Linked DNA regions of Callithrix jacchus. The main gene of each other region encodes a partner of the protein of the gene in region 6 in a complex. Links are inferred from orthologs where the notes say so. Each region holds a gene or a part of one and is shown on either strand. Other genes may lie near its edges. The genes, in order: CORO2A, TBL1X, TBL1XR1, NKAP, GPS2 and HDAC3.

What was found.
Region 1: HDAC3 (region 6) and CORO2A share a complex: the UniProt entries of both Homo sapiens proteins name them as parts of the N-Cor repressor complex. The link is inferred for Callithrix jacchus from reciprocal best matches to the Homo sapiens genes HDAC3 and CORO2A.
Region 2: HDAC3 (region 6) and TBL1X share a complex: the UniProt entries of both Homo sapiens proteins name them as parts of the N-Cor repressor complex. The link is inferred for Callithrix jacchus from reciprocal best matches to the Homo sapiens genes HDAC3 and TBL1X.
Region 3: HDAC3 (region 6) and TBL1XR1 share a complex: the UniProt entries of both Homo sapiens proteins name them as parts of the N-Cor repressor complex. The link is inferred for Callithrix jacchus from reciprocal best matches to the Homo sapiens genes HDAC3 and TBL1XR1.
Region 4: HDAC3 (region 6) and NKAP share a complex: the UniProt entries of both Homo sapiens proteins name them as parts of the notch corepressor complex. The link is inferred for Callithrix jacchus from reciprocal best matches to the Homo sapiens genes HDAC3 and NKAP.
Region 5: HDAC3 (region 6) and GPS2 share a complex: the UniProt entries of both Homo sapiens proteins name them as parts of the N-Cor repressor complex. The link is inferred for Callithrix jacchus from reciprocal best matches to the Homo sapiens genes HDAC3 and GPS2.

What each region holds. Positions count from the first base shown.
Region 1 is NC_133502.1:146,257,597-146,261,096, reverse strand, and holds part of CORO2A (coronin-2A), read left to right. Parts: intron 1-966; coding exon 967-1,146; intron 1,147-1,893; coding exon 1,894-2,010; intron 2,011-3,111; coding exon 3,112-3,216; intron 3,217-3,500.
Region 2 is NC_133524.1:9,897,329-9,900,828, forward strand, and holds part of TBL1X (F-box-like/WD repeat-containing protein TBL1X), read left to right. Parts: intron 1-2,807; coding exon 2,808-2,953; intron 2,954-3,500. UniProt on the Homo sapiens protein: F-box-like protein involved in the recruitment of the ubiquitin/19S proteasome complex to nuclear receptor-regulated transcription units. Plays an essential role in transcription activation mediated by nuclear receptors.
Region 3 is NC_133518.1:9,886,499-9,889,998, reverse strand, and holds part of TBL1XR1 (F-box-like/WD repeat-containing protein TBL1XR1), read right to left. Parts: intron 2,060-3,500; coding exon 1,958-2,059; intron 1,094-1,957; coding exon 1,067-1,093; 3' UTR 1-1,066. UniProt on the Homo sapiens protein: F-box-like protein involved in the recruitment of the ubiquitin/19S proteasome complex to nuclear receptor-regulated transcription units. Plays an essential role in transcription activation mediated by nuclear receptors.
Region 4 is NC_133524.1:115,910,925-115,914,424, forward strand, and holds part of NKAP (NF-kappa-B-activating protein), read right to left. Parts: intron 2,983-3,500; coding exon 2,912-2,982; intron 2,387-2,911; coding exon 2,246-2,386; intron 520-2,245; coding exon 456-519; intron 1-455. UniProt on the Homo sapiens protein: Acts as a transcriptional repressor. Plays a role as a transcriptional corepressor of the Notch-mediated signaling required for T-cell development. Also involved in the TNF and IL-1 induced NF-kappa-B activation.
Region 5 is NC_133506.1:73,797,811-73,801,767, forward strand, and holds GPS2 (G protein pathway suppressor 2), read right to left. Parts: upstream 2,801-3,957; 5' UTR 2,743-2,800; intron 2,544-2,742; 5' UTR 2,490-2,543; coding exon 2,396-2,489; exon of another isoform or gene 2,266-2,395; intron 2,166-2,265; exon of another isoform or gene 2,034-2,165; coding exon 1,924-2,033; intron 1,840-1,923; coding exon 1,727-1,839; intron 1,595-1,726; coding exon 1,515-1,594; intron 1,424-1,514; coding exon 1,341-1,423; intron 1,170-1,340; coding exon 1,016-1,169; intron 923-1,015; coding exon 833-922; intron 747-832; coding exon 667-746; intron 603-666; coding exon 485-602; intron 305-484; coding exon 171-304; 3' UTR 125-170; downstream 1-124. Other genes in the region: NEURL4 (neuralized-like protein 4), read right to left, coding at 3,514-3,718. UniProt on the Homo sapiens protein: Key regulator of inflammation, lipid metabolism and mitochondrion homeostasis that acts by inhibiting the activity of the ubiquitin-conjugating enzyme UBE2N/Ubc13, thereby inhibiting 'Lys-63'-linked ubiquitination.
Region 6 is NC_133503.1:40,058,218-40,061,717, forward strand, and holds part of HDAC3 (histone deacetylase 3), read right to left. Parts: coding exon 3,483-3,500; intron 1,696-3,482; coding exon 1,606-1,695; intron 1,484-1,605; coding exon 1,425-1,483; intron 1,179-1,424; coding exon 1,099-1,178; intron 781-1,098; coding exon 623-780; intron 1-622. UniProt on the Homo sapiens protein: Histone deacetylase that catalyzes the deacetylation of lysine residues on the N-terminal part of the core histones (H2A, H2B, H3 and H4), and some other non-histone substrates.

The DNA.
Region 1 (3,500 bases), on a different chromosome or scaffold from region 6:
GGAGGCTGAGGCGGCAGGATCACTTGAGCCCAGGAGGTTGATGCTACAGTGAGCCATGATCATGCCACTCCACTGCAGCCTGGGCAACCCTGTCTCAAAAATAAATAACTGAAAGGGGTGTGGGGAGCACTGAGGGAACCTGGGCTCTCTTCTGATCTTCAGTGCTTTCTTAGCTGTTTGTGTTGGGTGTCTGAGAGCTGCTGACTGTTTGTGCTGGTTGTTCTGTTTTTTTTTTTGAGACAGAGTCTCGCTTCAGTTGTCCAGGCTGGAGGGCAGTGGCGCAATCCTGACTCGCTGCAGCCTCTGCCTCCCAGGTTCAAGTGATTCTCCTGCCTCAGCCTCTCAAGTAGCTGGGATTACAAGTGTGCACCATCAAGCCTGGCTATTTTTATATTTTTAGTAGAGATGAGGTTTCTCCATGTTGGTCAGGCTGGTCTCAAATTCCCAACCTCAGGTGATCTGCCCACCTCAGCCTCTCAAAGTGCTGGGATTACAGGCGTGAACCACTGCACCCAGCCTGTGCCAGTTGTTCTATACACAGCTCCAGGGGGCGCTAGTCCCATCCTAGGCTATAGGAATGGATTGATTGCCCTGGAGCTCTGCATGCACAGCCTGTGTGGATAAACATACAGCCTTGTTGATCTGTGTGAGGTGCAAACTGCTGCTAATAACCGAAACCGCCTGGACGAGCTGGTTCCCTGGGGTCCTCCCTGCATGGATGTTTTGTTGTTCAGAGGCAGGTGGTGTTTTCCCTTCATCACTAGGCAGCCTGGCCCTGGGATTCCTACTCCTGCCACAAGCAGCTTCAGCCTGCACATCATCCTCCCACCGAGGCTTCCTGGCCAGGCTGCCAGCTGTGCTGCCCTCCCGGGGATACCATGTTTCACTGCAACCTGGCCAGTGTGTGACTGGGGGAGTCAGGGGCGGGGTGGCCCCGGTGCTAAGAGCTGGCTCTCTGCCTTGCAGGTGATGATCTGGAACCTGGATACAAAGGAGTCTGTCATCACAAGCCCCGTGAGGACGATTACCTGTCACCAAGATGTGATCCTCTCCATGTCCTTCAACACCAACGGCAGCCTGCTGGCCACCACCTGCAAAGACCGCAAGATTCGGGTTATTGACCCCCGAGCAGGGACCATCCTCCAGGTCAGTGCTGGGCCAGGGGCTGGCTCGGGCTCAGAGGAGCAAGGGGTAGGGGTGCAGGGGGAGGCTTCAGAGAACAGGACAATGATGCTGTCAGCGTCGGGGCCACACCTTCACAGGCACCATCGCCGTCTGTCCTCTCGGGATTGCTGGGGGTGGGATATGTCATTTCCATTTTGCAGATGAGAAAACCAAGGCCTGTGAGAGATGAAATGACTCACCCACATGGAGAGCTGGGATCTGAACATGATCTGACTCCAAAGCTTGTTGGTGTGCCTCAGCTCTGTCACTGGCCAGCGGGGTCAGGAGAGCCGACGACACCACTGTTTAGTCCCTGTGCAACCTTAGGCAAGCATTCCTGCTCTTAGCCTCTGTTTTCACATCTGCAACAATGGGCTGTGGGTTTTTCCTCTCCAAGGATTAGATAAGATGGGCCAGGTGACAGCGCCTACCGAGGTAGGGGTGCCTGATACTCTTTCAGCAAGAACAGGGGGCTGGGCAGAGGTTTGCTTCTGTTCTTGCTCAGAAAAATAACTCTTAACAAAGATAGTGGGGAGAGACTCCATGTGGATGAGAGGGATCCAGGTGGTGCCCCTGGGAATAATCTCCAGGCAGAGTTGGGGTGAGAAAGGGCGGCCTTCTCACCAGGGGGAGCAGCAGCATAAGCAAAGCAGAGAGGCCGGAAACCCCAGCTGCTCCCCGGAATCCCCTCCAGCGTCTCTCCAACACCCACCGCACATGTCCCTCCAGGAGGCCAGCTACAAAGGGCACCGGGCCAGCAAGGTGCTGTTTCTGGGGAACCTGAAGAAGCTGATGTCCACGGGCACATCGCGATGGAACAACCGGCAGGTGGCCCTCTGGGACCAGGTGAGGCCTGCACCCCTCACTATCACCCCTCAGCTGAGAGCCAGCGTCATTCATTCACACATGCATTCATTCAGACACCCATTTATGTCTCACACATTTAGCATAGATTGCCAGGTGCTGGGGATCTGGGGAAGAATAGCAGGGAGATGCCAATTGCCCTGGGCACGCCCAGACCCTGTGCATCTTACACAGGAGGGAGGTAAGTCAGGACCCAGTGGAGGCCCTGGGCTAGACGAGATGAGGTAGCTGAGTCTGGGACCAGGACTAGGAGAAAGGGAGAAGGAGAGGGCCAGCTGGGCAGAGGGGGCAGCCGGAGCAAATGAGGTAGTAATGGGTATGGGGAGGAAGAGCTTTCATCAGGACAGCTGAGGGTAGAGCAGGGGTGAGGGCCATGCCTGCGGTAGTGTTTTGAGGGAGCATTTGACAGGAGTTTCAAAGACTGGGCAAATCACACTTTCTCTCTGCGTCTCCTTCTTCATCTATTAAAATAAAATTTTAAAAACAGGTAGGGGAAGAGTAGAATGAGATCGGATTTGTCAAAAGTGATTTGTTATGGCCAGGCATGGTGGTACATGCATGTAATCCCAGTACTTTGGGAAGCCAAAGTGAGAGGATTACTTGAGGCCAGGAGTTCGAGACCAGTCTGAACTACACAGCAAGACCCCCATCTCTGCAAAAAATCAGCTGGGTGCAGTGGTGTGTGTCTATAATCCCAGCTACTTGGGAGGCTGAGGCAAGAGGATTGCTTGAGCCCAAGAGTTTGAGGCTGCTGTAAGCTATGATTACACCACTGCACTCCAGCCTCGGTGACAGAGACAGACCTTGTCTCAAAAAAAAAAGTGATTTGTTAAGGGCAGGAAGCTGACAAGATAGGTGGTAGCAGCATTTTAGTGCCTTTAACATGTCATCTCCACCAGAGAGTAGCCCACACATTGGACCCCAAGAACCGGGGACATCTTCCCCCAGGACACACATAAAAATCACACTTTTTCTGACACACACACTCTTGCCCAGAGCGCCATGGCAGGAATCATCTCCGGGAGCACCACTGAGGGCCCCCAGGAGTGACCCAGGCCTTCCCTGCCTCCCCTTCCCCTGCAGGATGACCTCTCTGTGCCTCTGATGGAGGAGGACCTGGACGGCTCCTCGGGTGTGCTGTTTCCCTTCTATGATGCAGACACCAGCATGCTCTACCTGGTGGGAAAGGTCAGTTTGGCACCGGTCGGAGGTGGCCGCCTGGACACCTGAGATGGGCAGACAGCAGCCTGGGGCCATTGGGAGCACAGGGCAGGGATGGGCAGGCCTCGCTGGCCACTCTTCTGCCATGAGAAAGAACACCTCCCACACTCCTGGTTCCTTAGGAACACCTGGGGCCAGGGCTCTAGCTAGAAACCTTGACTTTGTCCCTTCCCAACTCCAGGCCCAGATGTGGGGGGACCTTTGGTGTTTCTCAGCAGGGGCACCTGCTGGCCTGGGGGCAGAACAGGTCT
Region 2 (3,500 bases), on a different chromosome or scaffold from region 6:
GCTGTTGTTCAGAGCTGCCAGTGGTCTAGCTAAGTAGCCAGTTGGAAATGGAGTCCATGTCCACGCAGATAATTCAAGAATTTTGGTTTCTGTGCCTTTGGGTCTTGGAGGATAAAGTAAAAAGCGGAATTTCAAAGTCAGATGGTCTATGGTTCACAGTTTAGTTCAGCCTCTTATCACATAAACCGTGGGCGGGTTACCTGATGTCTCCAGTGTTTGTCCTCATATGTGAAACAAAAACAGTACCCACTCTGAACAGCCGCTACAGAGGCTGAGGTAGTGGACAGAGTGCCCAGGTTTGGTTGAAGGTGGTAATGTGGTCAGAATCGGCTCTGTTTCACAGAGCGTATGACTGCAGGTATCAGTTCTGTGGCCCAGTGCTGCTTGTGGGAATGAATGAGTGAGAGTAGATGAATAAAATATGCCAGGAGCATGAGACTCTCCTTCCACAATTGCTCCATCAGCCATGAGGTTTGCTTGTCAGGAACCCTCATCAGCACCTAATGCTGGTTTCTGGTGCATTCGATAGATGTTTCTAGATGCGGTTTCATGGTGGCTAAGAATAGTTTCTGGCTGCCGAGGCTTGGTTCTCAGCCCCACCCCTACAAACTGAGCAATCAGAACCTGTCAGTTACGCTCAAAAGATCTCAGAGACCTGATTCATCAAGGAAAAAGGACAGTGACAGAATGATGTTGAGAGACTTAAAGCCATTGAGTAGGAGCCAGGTGAGTGGCTCCTACCAGCCATGAGGGTCATGGTGTCTATGAGAGAGGAATCACCGTGGCCTGGAGTAGATAAGGAAGAGTCCATGCAATAGAGCGTTGGGCCAAGAATGCAGTGAGGTCCTGCTTTATTCATTGACTGAGGTTTTTCTATTCCACACTTCGCCAAAGATCTCAATGATAAAAGCTTGCAGGTAAAACTGTGTATAACATGGCGGAAAATAGAGTCATTGGTGAATCCAAGGGTGGGTTGCTTCATTTTGGTAGGAGTGGGTAGGGGAAAAGGAAGGTAGATAGAGAGAAAACAAGTTAGAAGGAAAAGATAAGGTTGTTGTAAAGAACCTTGGCTTATATCCTCCAAAAACACAGGGGTGGAGGAACCCTTGGGGATAGGGGAACCTGGAAAGGGCTCCTTTGCAACCTAATGTAGGCGGTTAGTTTCGTAAAGAAATATACAAGGCTCTGTGCAATGGATTGTAAAATTAATAGCAGCTACCCTAGTACTCTATTAGATAAATCTCAACCACACATTCAATATGTTCTTTACAACCTGGAGATGGGGACAGAATAGAGGGTGGATTGAAGAGGAGGGAGTAGACAGAGAAAAGTGAAATATCAGAAAGCAGCAAGGAGAGCAAAGCGCAGAGCTCCTCTCCTGGAGGAATGAACATTCCCATCTGGCGAGCATTTTGTTTATGCAAGGTCAGTTCGTATTTGGATAAGGAGAGACAGAAGGCCACTGATGTGGAAGCGGAGGGAAGCCGGCTGCCACTGCCCCCCTTTGGCTGAATGAAAGATGACGAAGAGGAACACACGCCCAGCGAGGCTGATAGTCCCATCTCCTGGGATAACCAGATCCTCAGCCTGCAGAGTGGCCTAACCAGGGAGGTACAGTGGCCACTTTCAGAACTCCCTGCTTCCTGCTCATTTGCCTCATCCGTGGAGGATGTAAACAATGTGAGAGTTGAAAGACACACTATGGGAATGCCTTGGTGTCTGTCCCACCTGTTGCCAGGGAGACAAGCATGGGGGTCCATGTTCCTCCAACTCTCAAGGATTTCAAGCTCCTATACACCCCCAGTCCGCCTCTGCACCAAGCAAAGTGACCCAGCCCTGCCAGGCGGGGTTTCCTGTTTTAGGAAACTCCCTGCAGCAGCCTAGACTTGCTGGCAGTAGGATGCCGCCTCCCTCCCTCTCCTTGAGGAAGGGCTGTTGCAGCTTCCCCATCACCCGGCCGACCTCCACATACATGCCCAGTGTCGTTGCCTTCTTTCCTTGAAGCAGGCATCATCCACAAGAGCAAGGCATGGCTTTCTGTGTATTCAGTCCTGATCCCCTTCCCAACAGCTTCATTCAAGAGCCTTCATCCAAAGCTGATCTGAAAACACCTTTAAATTGCCAGGCATCATTGATCAGCAGCTTCCTACAGCAGGAGTGAAGGAGATGCAGTCGGGGAGGAAAGGAAAAGAGCCAACATCTATTAGCCAGGAGAAAATTCCCAGTGTTTGGAGAAAATGACAGTACCACACCAGTCAGTCGAGATTGGCCTCTTCTCCGTCTTCAGATGTTGGGTTGTGATGCACTTGCCCCACGTGCTAGGAGCACTCAGGGTCAGCGTTTGCTGTTCCCTCATCTTGGGCTGAAGAAAGGTGCCCTGTATGCTTGCAGGGGGTGACACGGAGAGTCTTCGGCATGAGCTTCTGTAGAGTCATATGAACCGCAGAGTTGCGGGGAGCCTGGAGCCAAATTTCAGTAACAGATATGTCCAACCGGGGCACGCAGGGCAAACTCTATTGTCTGTTCTGTTTTATTATTAATAACACTGAAATGGGTCTACCATTAAAGGCCCTTGTTTCATCACATACCAACCTGGTCTTCCTGGGTCTGAAATCCCTCCTTCTTCCTCTGCCCTTTCCTACCTTATTGAACCCAAATCAGAAGCATCTCTGGGCATTCTACAGCCGTGTCTGCCCCCATAAACTAAGTGTGTTTGAAATCCGCAGGCCACCCTCAGATCTCAATGGCTGCACCTCCCTCGGTCAGTTTGGGTCTCATTCAACCTCGGCTTTCCCCTCTTGCTGCAGGTTTTTCCCACTCGGCTTTCACATTCGGGATCGAGAGCCACATCAGCCAGTCCAACATCAATGGGACACTAGTGCCGCCGGCTGCCCTCATCTCCATTCTCCAGAAGGGCCTGCAGTATGTAGAGGCCGAGATCAGTATCAATGAGGTATGTAGCTGCCGGGCTCGGTCCCCAAACAGTAGAGCCCTGGGAAGCTGCAAAAGCTTGAAACACATTGGAAACTAACATGCATATCCCTCAGGCATTTGGGATTAATTCAGTGGCAGGGTACAGTGGCTTAGGCCTATAATACCAGGACTTTGGGAGGCTGAGGCAGGAGGTCCACTTGGGCCCAGGAGTTTGAGACCAGCCTGGACAACATGGTGAAACAGCATTTCTACAAAAAGTTTAAAATTAGCTCAGTGTGGTGGTACACACCTGTAGCCCCAGCTCTTGGAAGGCTGAGCTGAGAGGATCAGATCACTCAAGCCCGAGAGGTTGAGGCTTCAGTGAGCTATAATTGTGCCACTACACTCCAGCCTGGGCTACACAGTGAGACTCTTACCTCTAAAATAAAATTTAAAAAAGAAGAAAGGAAGTTGGGTTTTTTTCCACTTTGTGTTAATACCTTATTGATCAGGGATGACACAGTAGCAAGCTTCCAGTGCCCCTCCCACATGGTTCTGTGTTTTTTAGTTAAATATAGAATCGTTGG
Region 3 (3,500 bases), on a different chromosome or scaffold from region 6:
GAAACATTTTAATCTCTTAAAAAACAAAGCAAAACAAACAAACAACAAAAACCCAAAACTACTTTGCTCCTTTTCACAATAGTGCACATTTTTACCATAATTTAGTTATGGCTACAAAACATCAGAAGATTTTTTTTTTTTTAATGTATCTTCTCTATGGTAATTAAAAAAAAACTTTGTGCCCTTCTAGTCATTAATTGGCAGAAATATGTCCCAAAAAAGAAACTATTGCATTTAAGCCACATCACCAAAAAACAAAGAAAACAAAAATTAAAAAAAAGAAAAAGAAAAGCAAAACAAAACAAAAAAAAAAAAACAGAACCAACAGAGCATAATACCCTTTTACTGATGTGTCTTCCAGATCGACATGACCAAAGTCATTTGTTTTCATTAATTTCCGATTCCCCTTCCACAACATGCACCAACTGAATATATGCTCTGGGAGCCATAAAGTGTACCAAACATCTACCTCTTCAAAAGAATGCATTAAAATATTTAAAGAATTTTTTTGTTGTTCAAAAGGTGAAAAAAATATAAACAAGAAACTGATTCACTCCCTTACTTCATGCATCCATAATCTAAACCAAAAACAAAATGTTAAAGCAAGAACACACTACTGCTGCAAGTTTCTGTAAGTCCATTTTCTCTGTACATACAAACTGCTCGCTACTGAAGGGAAAAAAGAATATACTCCATGGTGTCTGCTGATTCAAAGGGGAGAAACAAGGCTGTCATTTAGTATCCAAAACTGGTACATGTATGTTCTGCTTTTATAATGTATATTTTTCTCTCTTCTGTTTTTCATATCCAAAACTTCTAAATGCTATTTTAGGGGCACAGCAGATTAGATTCCAGCACTTGGTGAACAAAATTCACAAGCTGTGACAAACCTGTCATCTTCAGGGTGCAATTTTGTTTATATACACTGTATGTATATATTTCTTTTAGATTTGGCTGTAGTGGACTGGCCATGGTTCAAGTGGGACTATAGCAGTACATGGGTCAGGGACAGTCATTTTGGCTATGTACACATTCATAGTCGGTCCATGGCTTCCAACTAGTAGCGCTATTTCCGAAGGTCTAATACACAAACCTGTAAGAAATTAAAATAGTCAACCAGTGTATTCAGAATTTCATTGTACATTTTTTGTTTAACTTTTCTATAGTACAATTTGAAATGTTTCTTAGTTCCAAGTTTATAAAACTGGTAAAGCATAATAATCATGGAAATGGGCACTAAACTGACAGAAATCAGATCACTTAAGAAGATCAAGAGAACAACCATGAGCTCAAACTATGGGGAGAAAACCAGGGCTAGGATTTTTAGGAATTACTCTCTGCTGATCAAAAAGGAGAGGGAAAATGCTCAAAACAGACCATTCCCTATCCAGTGGACTCTAACGAAAGATATCACAGATTATATTCAGCTACAGCGTCAGTAAACAGCTACCCTTTCCCACCTTCCATTGCTTCTACAGCTTTGGAAGCCATATTTGCATTGCTGTAAAGAGCTGGCCAACCTCATCCTGAAAACCTTTCAGTATCACACATTCCTCAACAGAGGAACCAACTGCCCCTAATCCCACCTTCCCTGGGCCAACAAACTCTTCTGTGAAGAGGAGAAAGTAGAAATACCCATTAAAAATTCCAATAATCCTCTGAGTGCTACTCTGGTATACCTAATTTCATAAATGAAGGCTCAGATTAAAAATAACTGTCCATTTCTAGATTATAAGGCAGTCTTTTGGTAAGGAAAGCGTGAATTATGTTTGTAATATTTGAATGCAATGCACATGAAACATTTATAGCCTCAGGGTAAAAAAAAAACTCATATCATACCTTAAAATTTATTTGGAAAAAAGAACAAAAACCCACTTTCGTATATCGCTAACAATAAGCTGCATGCTACTGTGAACACACGCCCAACCCCTCTTTGGAAACACTTTACTGTACTTACTGAACCATCTGATGCACTGGCTCCAACTTTGTCTCCTGCTGCATTCCAGCAAACTTCAAAAATTCCACCTGTTCCCCTATAGCTGTGAACTAGAGCACCTGTCTAAAAGAATGAAAAACAAAATCTTAAAAGTCATATACATATTATAAATCCAAATACTGAGATAAAAATATTACACAGCCTTATTTCTAGCAATGAGAGGAGAGACTTAGCTTCAAATATAAAAATAAGTTCTGAAACTCCTTATTTTTTTTTATGAAAAGATAACACCAGCCTGTTCTCAAAAGATTACTCACACACACACATTCAGTTTCTCCAGTGATGATAACAAGGTATCTGGTCTCTCTGACATAGCCAACAATAGCTAGAAGTAAACATTCAGTGCATCACATGAAATAAGTTTTTGCTGTTGCTAAATGATGCATGGGTCTAGCTAACATGTAGAGAAAAAAATTAACTCAGAATTTCTTTGACAAAACAGCTTAAGAGAGGAAATTAACTAACTAGTAAAGCTAATTCCAGTAAAAGTCTGCTATTCACTCCATATTCACTGAGCAGCCCTAAGTTAGGAGATCCATAATAATGTATGTACCCTGTGTTTGAGCCAGGGTCTTGTTCTGTCACCCAGGCTGGATGCGGTTATGCAATCATAGCTCACTGCATCTTCTAACTCCTGGCCTAGAGTGATCCTTCCCTGCCTCTGCCTCCTGAGTAGCTAGGATTACAGGTGCATGCCACCATGCCTAGCTAATTTTAAAAAATTATTTGTAGAGACAAGCCCTCACCATGTTGCTCAGGCTGGTCTTGAACTCTTGGCCTCAAGCAATCCACTCACTCTGGCTTCCCAAAATGTTGGGATTATAAGCATGCGCCACAGTGCCCAGATAGATACGTACACTATTCTTGAAAGGTGTTATAAGTGTAAACAAAAAACACGGCCAGGAATACTAACAATTTCACTGTTCAGCTGTCACTGAAGAATTAAAACTCAGTCCAAAAATGTATTATCCTACGAAACCAGTCAGTTCACAGGACAAAAGATCAGAGGTCCTGTTGTGAAAACTGAAAAATGTGCTTCTGGTGTTCTGCCCTGGCAAATCAGAAAAGTGACCCCTGTAGCTTTATGGTAACCTTAAGTCAAGCTAGAGGTAGATCTATTTAAAAACAACAGGGCGGCAAACCATATACCTTGAAAATACCTCCCATTCAGCCTATCCAAGTTGACCACTAGGCTGGAAGAACGTTGACCTAGCTTTCCTCTTCAAATTTAGCCTGGTAACGTGGCACAAATCACGGATGCATTGCTACTGATTATCAGGCTGGGAAGGCTCAACTGTTTTGTTTATTTAAAATTTCTCCCAACTTAAAATGTCTCATAATTTATGAGATTAAGTTCAAGTATAGTAGGCTTTGAGTATCTATGGTTAACAAGGAGAGAAAAAGTAGCACCAACAAAATATTAGGTATAAAAAATCTATCGTCAACCTACAGACATTCAATCTACAGCCAACTTGGGGGTTAAAAAAACAAAAGAACGTTCTTT
Region 4 (3,500 bases), on a different chromosome or scaffold from region 6:
TTCAAAAATAAATGATGGATGGTAGATATTGCCCATCATTTGATAATTATTTAGACAGCATGATGGATACAGGAGGGATCATTATACTATTTTACGTAATTTTATATACGTTTGAAATTTTCTGGCTGGGTGCAGTGGCTCATGCCAGTAATCCCAGCACTTTGGGACTCCAAGGTGGGAGGATTCCTTGAGGTCAGGAGTTCCAAACCAGCCTGGCCAACGTGGTGAAACTCCATCTCTACTAAAGTAAACACAAAAATTAGCTAGGCGTGGTGGTGGGTGCCTGTAATCCCAGCTACTTGGGAGGCTGAGATATGAGAATTGATTGAACCAGGGAGGCGGAGGTTGCTGTGAGCCGAGACCACACCACTGCACTCCAGTCTGAGCAACAGAGTAAGACTCTGTCTCAAAAGAAAAAAAAAGAAATTTTCTATAATAAAACTTAAAAAACTGACGATCTGTGTTTCCTCTTCTTTTCCTTTTTCTTGGCTTTCTTTGCTCTCCTTTTGTTATTTTCATCTGCAAATTAAAGCACAGTACAATTAAGAAAAAAAAATTTTAACTCTAAAACCGTAGTACTTTTGAGTAGGTAACTAATCTATTACTGTCCCATTTATTATTGCAAAGAAATTACCTCATTGGAATATTTATTGCTATTTGTCAGGAACTGTAAGAGGTAGTATAAACATAGAAATTAAAGTCACTAGGTATTTGGTGATATAGGGTATTATTATTAATTTTATTGTGTGACATAGTGTTGTGGTTAAGTAGGAAAATGCCTCTCTTTAGGAGATGCATACAGGGTGGAAGTGTGATGATATTTGTAATTGAGTTTGAATATCTCAGCAAAAAGCCCATATTTTGAAGTAAATATGTAAAAATACTAGCAACCACCAAATCTAGGTGATAAGCATATGGTATTAATTATACTATTCTCTTCACTTTTCTCAATATTTAAACATGTTCATGATAAAAAGGAAAAGAAAACTATGTGTGTGTTGGAGGTGGGAGAGAGAATGCTTTCCAGGAGCTCAGGCTAATGGAGGAGACAGATAGGTAAAGAGATCAATACAGACTGGAGTGATAGACAGCTTGGGGAGCCTAGACACACAGAGGAGTCTTAAAATCAGACTGATGTGGGGAGGGAGGTTGAGGAATGGTTGACCAGGAAAGGTTACTCTTAAAGTAGTTCTTTGATTACAAAAGTACAGAAGTATGCCCACTGGTGAAATGAGTAAATGAAGCTGGGTGGAGGGAGGGACTGGCATTGCAGGCAGAGGGCCTCTCTGTCAAGCAACAATTAAGAGAAAAAACGGGGAATACTAAGCAGACAGAAAGTAGTTTTAAGATTACAGAGGATGGTGCAAGAGAGTGTAACAGGGTATATGTGATTAGAGAGAGGTGAGTCAGGGTCTGAACTTTACCCTGAAGGCTATGGATTGCTATTGAAGGATTTTAAGTAGGCATTCGGTGATATAGGGTACTATTACTAATTTCATTGTGTGAGACAGTGTTGTAGTTAAGTATAAAAATGTCTCTTAAGGGATGCATACAGAAATATTTGGAAGTTCTGTCTTCCAGAACTGAGGAAGAGAAGTGATAGGGATGGCCAGGAAACCTGGTTGATATCAGAGGAAGGTGAACCTTTGCGTAATGCTAACCCCTGAGGAGGCACCTTCTGGTCAATCATCAGCCAGGAGACAGTACAAAAAGGAGACTATTTGCGATGCACTATCCCAGATAGGGTGCCTTCCACAAATCAGCAGCCGGCATGAAGGGGGCACTTTATGGCATACCTTTTTGAAAAGTATACAGAGGTGCTCGTTGGGCATGAGAATTACATAAAAGAGCCCTTCCACTGGGCTAATGCAGCCCTGTAAGGCTTACTTTGGTACAGCCCAGCCCCCTGACTTGGTCTGGTGGCACATGCCTTCTACAACTATGCACATCCAATCTGGAGTCAGATCGCTTAGGTTTGAATCCCAACTGTGTGACCTTGGGGATAGTACTTAAAACCTGCTCTGTGTCCACTTCCTCATCTGTAAGATGTACCTTACAGCTATTGTATGAATTAAATGGCAATAATGAATATAAAGCATTTAACGGGATGCCTGGCACAAGGTTAGCAAGCATTCAAAAACTCTTCAGTGCTACTATTATTTTCAGGAACCTTCTTCTAAAATAAGTTTTAAGAAGTAAAACTAGTTTTGAAGCAAGGCTTGCAGAATGCTGTTGGCTTTCTTACCACTGGAGTCTGTTTCAGAATCAGAGTCACTGTCGCTATCTTCAGAATACTTCTTGTGTTTTCTTTTTGATGATTTTTTCTTTCTCCTTTTCTTGAACCTTTCTTTTGAATGGCTAGACTTCTTCTTCTTCTTTCTTTCTTCTAAGAAAATACAAATAAAAAATTATATTCTAAAAAATTATTTCTGAACATCAAAAGAAAAAGATGATGGGCAATTTGAGTAAAAGCAAAGTCTAATGTTCAACTATTTACAAACTGGTATTTTAGGCGGGGCACAGTGGCTCATACCTGTAATCCCAGCACTTTGGGAGGCTGAGGTAGGTGGATCACGAGGTCAGGAGTTCAAGATCAGCCTGACCAACATGGTGAAACTCATCTCTACTAAAAACTCAGAAATTATCTGGGCGTGGCTTGAGCCTATAATCCCAGCTACTCAGGAGGCTGAGGCAGGAGAATTGCTTGAACCTGGGAGGCAGAGGTTGCAGTGAGCCAAGATTGCGCCACTGCACTGCAGCCTGGGCAACAAAGCAAGACTCCATCTCAAAAAACAAACAAAACCCAAAAAAACCCGGATTTTTTTAAATCCCTCAAAAAAATAGCTCTGTATTTCAAAAATACCCTCTGGGTTTTTTTTCTCTTTCTTTTTTTTTTTTTAATTTTAAATACCTTCTGAAGTAGAAGCTGAAGTAGTGCTTTTCTTTGGCTCTTCATCCTCTACTGGTGTATGTTCATCAGAACTGAATTTAAATAAATGGTTATAAGAATTAGGAAAGTGATGAGACATGGACCATGGCGTGTAAAAACACGAACCCCAAATTTTTCAGTAACAGCACTGACTGTCCAAGAACCATTAAAAGCAAGCATTGGAGATCCTGAGGCAGAACTTGGGAATCAAAACAACAACAACAACCACAAAGCAAGCACTGAACTACTTTTGAAAACATGGAGTTCAAGGGTCTACTGCCTTTGTAACAATAACATAACTTATCATTTGTATAATACTTCAGTGTTTACAGAGTGCTATTTAAACAAAGCAGCATGGAGGATTTAGATTTTCAGAAGAAACCACAGGGAAAAAGTAGAGAAACAAGAACCATAAGGAAAGATTAAAGAAACTGGATATAAGAAGGTTGAAAAAAGACTTCACAATTTTATTCTAAGCACGTAAAAGACAAATGGTAAAGCAGCAACTGTTCTGTCTCCTCAGAGCAAGAACCTAACAAACTACAGTCTAAAGAGATTTTGATTTGCTGCA
Region 5 (3,957 bases), on a different chromosome or scaffold from region 6:
GAAACCCACTATCTGTATCACTTTGACTTGCTGTAGACCTGCCAGCCTAACCCAACCCTTCAAGCAGCCTTGACCTATTCCAGACAGTTGGGTGGGAGGCAACACAAACAGCAGCAGCCAGGGGCAGTGGCAGGTAGATTTTATTGGCCTGGGACACACAGGGGGTACCCTCACCCACAGTAGGATGGGGGGTATGGTGTTGAAGATAATAATCTGATGGTCACTTGTGGTAGAATCGCGGGTTCTGGCTGTGTTGGATGAAGGGGAGCCGAGGGCCAGGTTGGCTGGTAGCTGCAAAGCCCGACTGGCGGTGGTGATGAAAAGAGGGCTTTGTCACTGGGCATACTTTCCCTTCCACTAATACCCTTACTGATAACCACCCCCAAAGAGGAAGGTAAAACCAGATGATGTGGGCCACCTGTCCTACCTAATTCTGCTTTTCTGGGATAGGGATTCTGACAGGTAAGGTTATTACCATTCTTACCTTTCCTGCTGGTTGGATCTGCACAGGGAGCTGGGGGGAAGCAAGGAGTCCAGGGGCTGGATGCAGAGCCTGGGGGTGCATGGGGCGCAGAGAGGACTGCAGAGAACAGAGTCAGGGCCTGACGCATACTGAAGCTCCTCTTAACATATCCTTAACCCTGACCTCCCAAGCGCCATACTCACTGAGTCAGAGAAGCCCGTCTGCTGGTTAGCATGTTCCATCTGCTTTTGCAAGGACAGGGCACCACCAGGCTGGAGGAAACCTAGGTGGGGAGCAGGGGCATGTGAAACAATGAGACAGGGAGGGGAGGACCCAGAGAGCTAGAGGTCCTGCATGGGATGTTATCACCTGTCTGAGTGGGCTGAAAGTGGCCGTGTACCGCATAGGGCTGTGGTTGTGGCTGAGATAGGTACTGCACTGCAGGGAACGCTGAAGGAGCTGAGAAAGAGACACGGCTATTAACCCTTTACTCAATAGCATTCCTCTTTTGACCCTGAGGAAAGCCAAGCCCCCATCCCTCCGACGACTCACCTCTGAGCTGCTGACTAGGACTATAAGCTGGCTGTGTGGGCCCATAGTGAGGTGGGGGCTGAGCAGTCCCATAGGCACCACCAGGACTGCCTTGGAATTGTCCATGCTCTGGTGTCCCCGCAAAAGCAGCTGCTGAGCCCACATAGTGCCGAGTCTAAGGAGGGAGAATGAGAACTCACCTACAAGCTCCATGAAAGCTGAAACTCAGTGACTTGTGTATATCTTTATGCTCTTGTTTCCCCCTAAATTTAAGTGCTTGATATGTCTGTGACTTGAATACTGGTGGCAAGGATATTTGGGACTAGGCATCCAATCCTATTCTTACCGTAAGCACTTGGGGTCCAAACATTTGTTTGGCTCTGTCAGCTGCCATAAGCGTGCCTGGGCGATTGTGTCCTCCAGGGCTCCCTAGAAAGGGAGAAGGGCGGCAGGATGCTGAAATGGTAGGCTGCAACCTCAAAGAAGGCTGGTTCTATCAGGTAGTTTTTTTAATCCTCACCTTGCATGCTGAGGAGATGAGTTCCTGTGTGAACAGTCAGGCTCTGCTGGTATGCAGCTGATGTCAGGGTGGTCAGGTCACTGGAGCGGAAGGAAAACAGATCAAAGTCAAGGACAGACACTCTCTCTTTTGTCGTTAAAACACTGGTTGTCTTACTATCTGATCCCAGTTCCACTTAGCCCCCATTTCGGTTTTTATCACTCTGATCCCACCTTTGTTCCTTTCGCCTCCGTTTTTCTTCCTCATGTAAAACTTTCTTGAGCTGCAGGAAAAGCTGGTGCTTTTCTTCCTGTAGGGCCAAAAGCTTCTCCTGCAACTTCAGAATCTGGTATGGGGTGGGGAGAGAAGATGAAGGCAGGGAGAGTCAAGGGAAGAATTTAGAGCTTGGAGAGATCAAGGGACTGCTTACTTGTTCCTTGGTCTCCTCTAGTGACATTCTCTCTTCCATCTCCTTTTTCTTCCTTCTTTCTTGCTCTTCCTTCATCTTCTGTTCCATCATCTTGTCCACCTCTTCTTCCTCTGGAGAATCACGCAGAATGAGGAAGAGGCAGGGTAGTAAAAATTCCAACGTTACAGATTGAAGACCAGCAAAACCCAGTCATCCCAACACGCCTGTGGGCTCTTTGCCTCGAGGGGACAAGCTCCCCAACGCTGCAATAGGGAATGGAATGGAGAGACTTTATCAGGTGCTCTCCAAGGTCCTTCCCAGCTCAAGGGTCCTGGAGAGTGGACTAGGACGCTTAAATCCTACCACAACAGAGCTGTTCGTTCCCTCCTCTGCGCTCGGCAGCGGGCGCGCAGGTTGGCCGGTGGGTTGGGGCCAGCCCTGAGGTACAGGAGCCATTCTGGGCCGTATGCCCTCCGCTATGGCCCCGGCTCACCCTGCCTCTTGCGCTCCCGTTCCATCATAATGTGCCGGTGCAGCGCCCTGGCCATGGCGTTGGAAAGCTTGGGGCGCTCCAGAAGTGCAGGCATGGTGCTGCCGTGGACGCCCGGCTCTGTCTCTCACTGCCAGACCTCAGACGAGACCTACGGAGAGGCGGGCGCTCAGAGGGGCCCGCGCCCGGCTCAGGCGGAAACCCGCTCGCCGCCCCGGTCACGTGTCCCGGGAGCCCGCCACCCGGCCGAGCCCGCAGCCCCCGCTCCAGCACGCGCGCGGGCGGCGCTGGGTCCCCGGCTCGGTGCTGCCGCTCCCTGCCTGGCCAGCCCGGACGCCAACCCTCCTTACCAGCCTTCTCTGCGCTTTTTCCGCGGCTCCGGCGCGCCCTGGACCCTACGTCACATCCGGTGGCCCGACGAGTCCTTCCGGAGTCACGGCGGCGGCCGATCTCACTGATTGGGTGGGAGAAGGCGGAAGCGCGATGCGACGGGTACCCGCGGCGTCCAAACCCCGTCGCCGCACAACTGCCTTGGCATCTTCAGTTCTCTTAATTTCGCGGGCCCGCCTGGCAGTACCCCAGGGGACGCAGGATCCGGAAAGGGGCGCGTGAGAGAGAGGCTGAAGCGGAGGCTCTGAGACGATGTTTATTGGCTCCTTAGAAATCAGAGTCAGTAACAACTGTACAGAGGCCCCCGTCTTCCGTGCGCCCGCCCTTCCCCACTCCCGCCCAGTGGCCCCGGCAAAAGCAGCTTCATGTGGGCACAGGTAGAGACTCCTCTGGGATTCACAGTAACCAGTAACAAAAACTGAAATAAATTAAGTGATGTCGGGGAGGGGAGTAATAGGGAGTTATGTTCCACAAATCAGTGCATGAAGAAGGGTACCAAGGCCTGGAGCTAGGCTCTCGCAGCTCCTCCCCTCAGACGGAGTGCTGGGCGTCTGGACCTGGAGTGTGCCGCTTCCCACCTACATCTGAGAGCCTGCCTACATGCTCCTGAGCGGCCGCCGAGCCCCAGCACCTGCGCATGCCACAGTCACGGGAATGAGGTGGAGGCAGTCGCCACTCGGAGTCCATGGGCCTGAGGCCCGACTGTGCTTGTAGTAGTGGTGTCTCACCCCTCATTCCACCCGTACCAGCAGAGCATAGAGGAGTGTGGCCCCCTTCTCCTTAGTGACCCACTCAAGTTCGGCTGGGCTGAAGTGAGGGTCAGAAGGTTCTCCAAGGGCAGCGGAAGGGGGTCCTGGGGTGTAGGAGCCAGGACGCACACACACCTGGAACGCCACCTGAGCCTGGTGCGTCCGCTGGGATTTGGGGTCCCGGAATCTGTCAGACAAGAAGAAATAGGGGAGTGAAGCCTCTCACCCCATCACCTCTCCCCTTGCAAAGTCTGTTCCAACCACACAAGCCTTGCTTTACCTAGGAAATCCTCTCACCTTTTGGGAACTTCGTTCTAGCTGTTCTTTCTACCTGAAATGCTCTTCCTCCCAAAGCCTGCTCAGCTACCCTTTACTTCCTTCTTCAAGCCTTTGCTCGAATGTCTCCCACCTTCCAGGCTGGAGTGC
Region 6 (3,500 bases):
TACTATCTAACCCACTGAAACAAGCATGCAAGGATGTATATGTAAAGGGATTCATTGACACATTATTATTGTAATACCAAAAAAATGGAAAATAATGTAAATGTCTATCAATGGTAATTGGTTAAATTTTACGCTATATCCACATGATAGATTATCATACAGCTGATAAAATACTGAAGCAGAGCTATATTAGCTAACATGGAACCAGCTTTATGATGTAAAACAGCATATATATATAGAATGACCCTATTTGTATTCACAAAAAAGCAAAAAACCACACAAAATGTAAATGAGTATGTGTTTGTTTATATGTACATACACATATGTGCATCTATAGAAAAAGGCGTATCCAAAAAAGTAGAAACTATTAACAGTGGTTACTCCTGTGGAATGGGTCTAGGATTGTATGAAAGCAAACAACATATTCTGGTGCTGTTTTAAAATTTTACAATAAATATGTGTTACTTTTGTCATTAAAAATAGCAAAGAAAAGAGTGAGGAAATTGTAGTAGACATGGAGGTAAGCCAGGGGCAATAAAGTTATACCTTCCCATTTACTTTTTTCTCTTTTAAGCCTCCCCAACAAGCCTACCGGAAGCCCCTGAAGTCCCTGCTCCCAGACCTGCTATAGTTCTCCTCAGGACCCCTCTCCTCTGCATCAGCCTCATCAGTCCTGTCATACGTCAGCAGGTCTGCAGGCACATCATGAATCTGAACACTAGGTGCATGGTTCAGCATCTTCAGGTTTTCAAAGATTGTCTGGCGGATCTGGTCCAGATACTGGTTGGAGATGAGGAATAGAGAGTGAGCAGTTCCCAGTGATTCCCAGGGCATGCACTCTCCCAGCTGCCTTTGACCCCTACCATCCTGGTTTTCATCTCAGTGGTAATTTAAGTTTAGGTCCCCCAACTGATAGCTGTCCCTCCCCACCAACCCCAACTGCTTCTGCTTTAACCTACTGCCTCCTAGCCAATAACAGTGACAGTGATGACTTAGAACTTCCTTCTCTTTGGTTTTTTTCTACTTCCCACATCTTTGACCTCTCCTGGGCTCCGCCTTTCAGGAAAAGTTTGTGCTCAGCTTTTCTGAGCTGCTGACCTGGCGTGAGTTCTGATTTTCGATGCGGGTGCTGACATCTGGATGAAGCGTGAAGTCTGGGGCAAAGTACTCGAAGTATTCTTAGGGAGGAGAGGAGAAAGTATGGCTCAGACTAAGAAAGGCAGCTACCAAGACTTCCCAGTCTTTTTCCTTCCCATCCAGAGCCCCTATATAATAGTTGCCCAGTCTTTTCCTTGCTCTGAGCCAGGGGTTTAGTTTGCAGAGCTCTAAGAGTGTAAAATTTTCCATCTGCCTTCAAACCAAGTCATTCTAAAATCTAGTGAGAATGGCCTCCTTGTTGTGGGGGTGTTGTGGGTGGTCCTTACCACTATAGGGAAGCTCCTCACTAATGGCCTCTTCTACCAGCAGCGATGTCTCATATGTCCTGAAACCAACCAGCAGAGGAAAGCAGACTGACCAAGTGGGCTGAAGAGCCCATGTGGCCATATCTGAGGGACCCCCTAGCTCACAGTGTACAACGGGGGAAGAAATCAGGAGGGCGCTCACCAGCAGCGGGCAACATTTCGGACAGTATAACCACCACCACCCAGCACCAGTAGAGGGATATTGAAGCTCTTGACATATTCAACGCATTCCCTATAAAAAGGAACCAGAGGAAGGAGTGGAGGAGGTTGGTTATCAAAAAACAAAGTATATACGTTTAGGTGTTGCCTGAAAGGAGCACAAGGGAACTATAAATATTCTAAATCTTTATCTGGATAGTGAAATTCATTATGTTCAACCCTTAAGATTTATGTATACTTTATATTCTGTGTCTCAATAAAAAATTTAAAATAAAGCATAGTCCCATCTCTGTTCTGCCCAACACCCTCCCTGACACCTGCCTATTAATCAACTACTCTCATCAATGCAAGTTCTGTTGATTCTAAGCCTTCAAAATGTAACTCACGCTGGGTGCAGTGGCTCACACCTGTAATCCTAGCACTTTGGGCGGCTGAGGCAGGTGGACTGCCTGAGCTCAGGAGTTGAAGACCAGCCTGGGCAACACAGCAAAACTCTGTCTCTACTAAAAACACAAAATAAATTAGCCAGGCATGGTGGTGCGTGCCTGTAGTCCCAGCTACTCAGGAGGCTGAGGCAGGAGAATCGCTTGAACCCAGGAGGCAGATCTTACAGTGAGCTGAGATCATGCCACTGTACTCCAGCCTGGATGACAGACCAAGACTCCATCTCAAAAAAAATATATATATATATACATATATATATATTTTGGTCTCTCCATTGCCACCTCCTCCACCTTGGTCTGGGTACCTAACCAAACACCATGGCTTCCTAACTGGTCTTCCCACTTTCATCCCCATTTCCTCTACCCAAAGCTTTCTTTATTCAGCAGTCAGAATAATCACTTTCAAACACAAATCGGATCATGTCACTTTTCTGCTTAAAAATACTACAGTGGTTTCCCAATATCTTTGGAATATAATTCAAACTCCTTATCAGGATCTCAAGGTTCTACACAGTCTCACTATGGTCAGCTTCTCGGACCTCAACTCAAACTACCTCCAGCTTGCTCGCCGTGTTCTACTGAATCAGCTCATTCCTGCCAGAGCCTTTTTTTTTTTTTTTTTAAAGAAACAGTATCTCACTCTGTTGCCCAGACTGAAGTCCAATGGCATAATCATGGCTCACTGTAACCTCAAACTCCTGGGCTTAAGTGATCCTCCTGCCTCAGCTTCCTAAGCAGCTAGGACTATAGGCATGACCATCATGCCCGACTAATTTTGTTTTTTTTCTGTGGAGATGGCTCTCTCTGTGTTGCCCAGGCTGGCCTCAAACTCCTAGCCTCAGGCGATTCTCCCATCTTGGCCTCTAAAAGTGTTAGGATTACAGGTGTATGCACTGGGCCCACCCCTCAGAGCCTTCTGTGGGCCTTTGTCAATGCTTGGGACAGGCTTCTCTCTGCTCCCCTTATGTCTCCTTAAGACTCCTTCTTGGTCACCAGGTGTCAGCTCAGATTTTACTTCCTTAGAAAATGTTTTCCAAATCATACTATATAAAGTAGGTCCCCCATTGTATCCTGTGTCTCAGCTTTCTTTCTGTCTTTCATAGAATTTATAACAATCTATTTCATTTGATTATTTATTTTTTTCTGTTTCCTAAACTGTAAACTTCATGGGAGCCTCCTCATTCCATCCCCATGATGTGGTATGATGCTTGGAACATAATAGGTGTTTAATAAAAATATATTGTGAATGAATAACCATTGAGGGAACCCTGTACAAGATGACATTTCTAGTTCAAGTACAATTTGAAGCTAGTTTTGATTTCCTAGTAGAGGTAAGGCCCATTCCCCAACTATCCCCACCCATGTACTAAGTCCAAGACCACTTAAAAACCTTGGGGAGAAGGAGAGCGAGTCTCACCCATGTCCTCGGATGCTG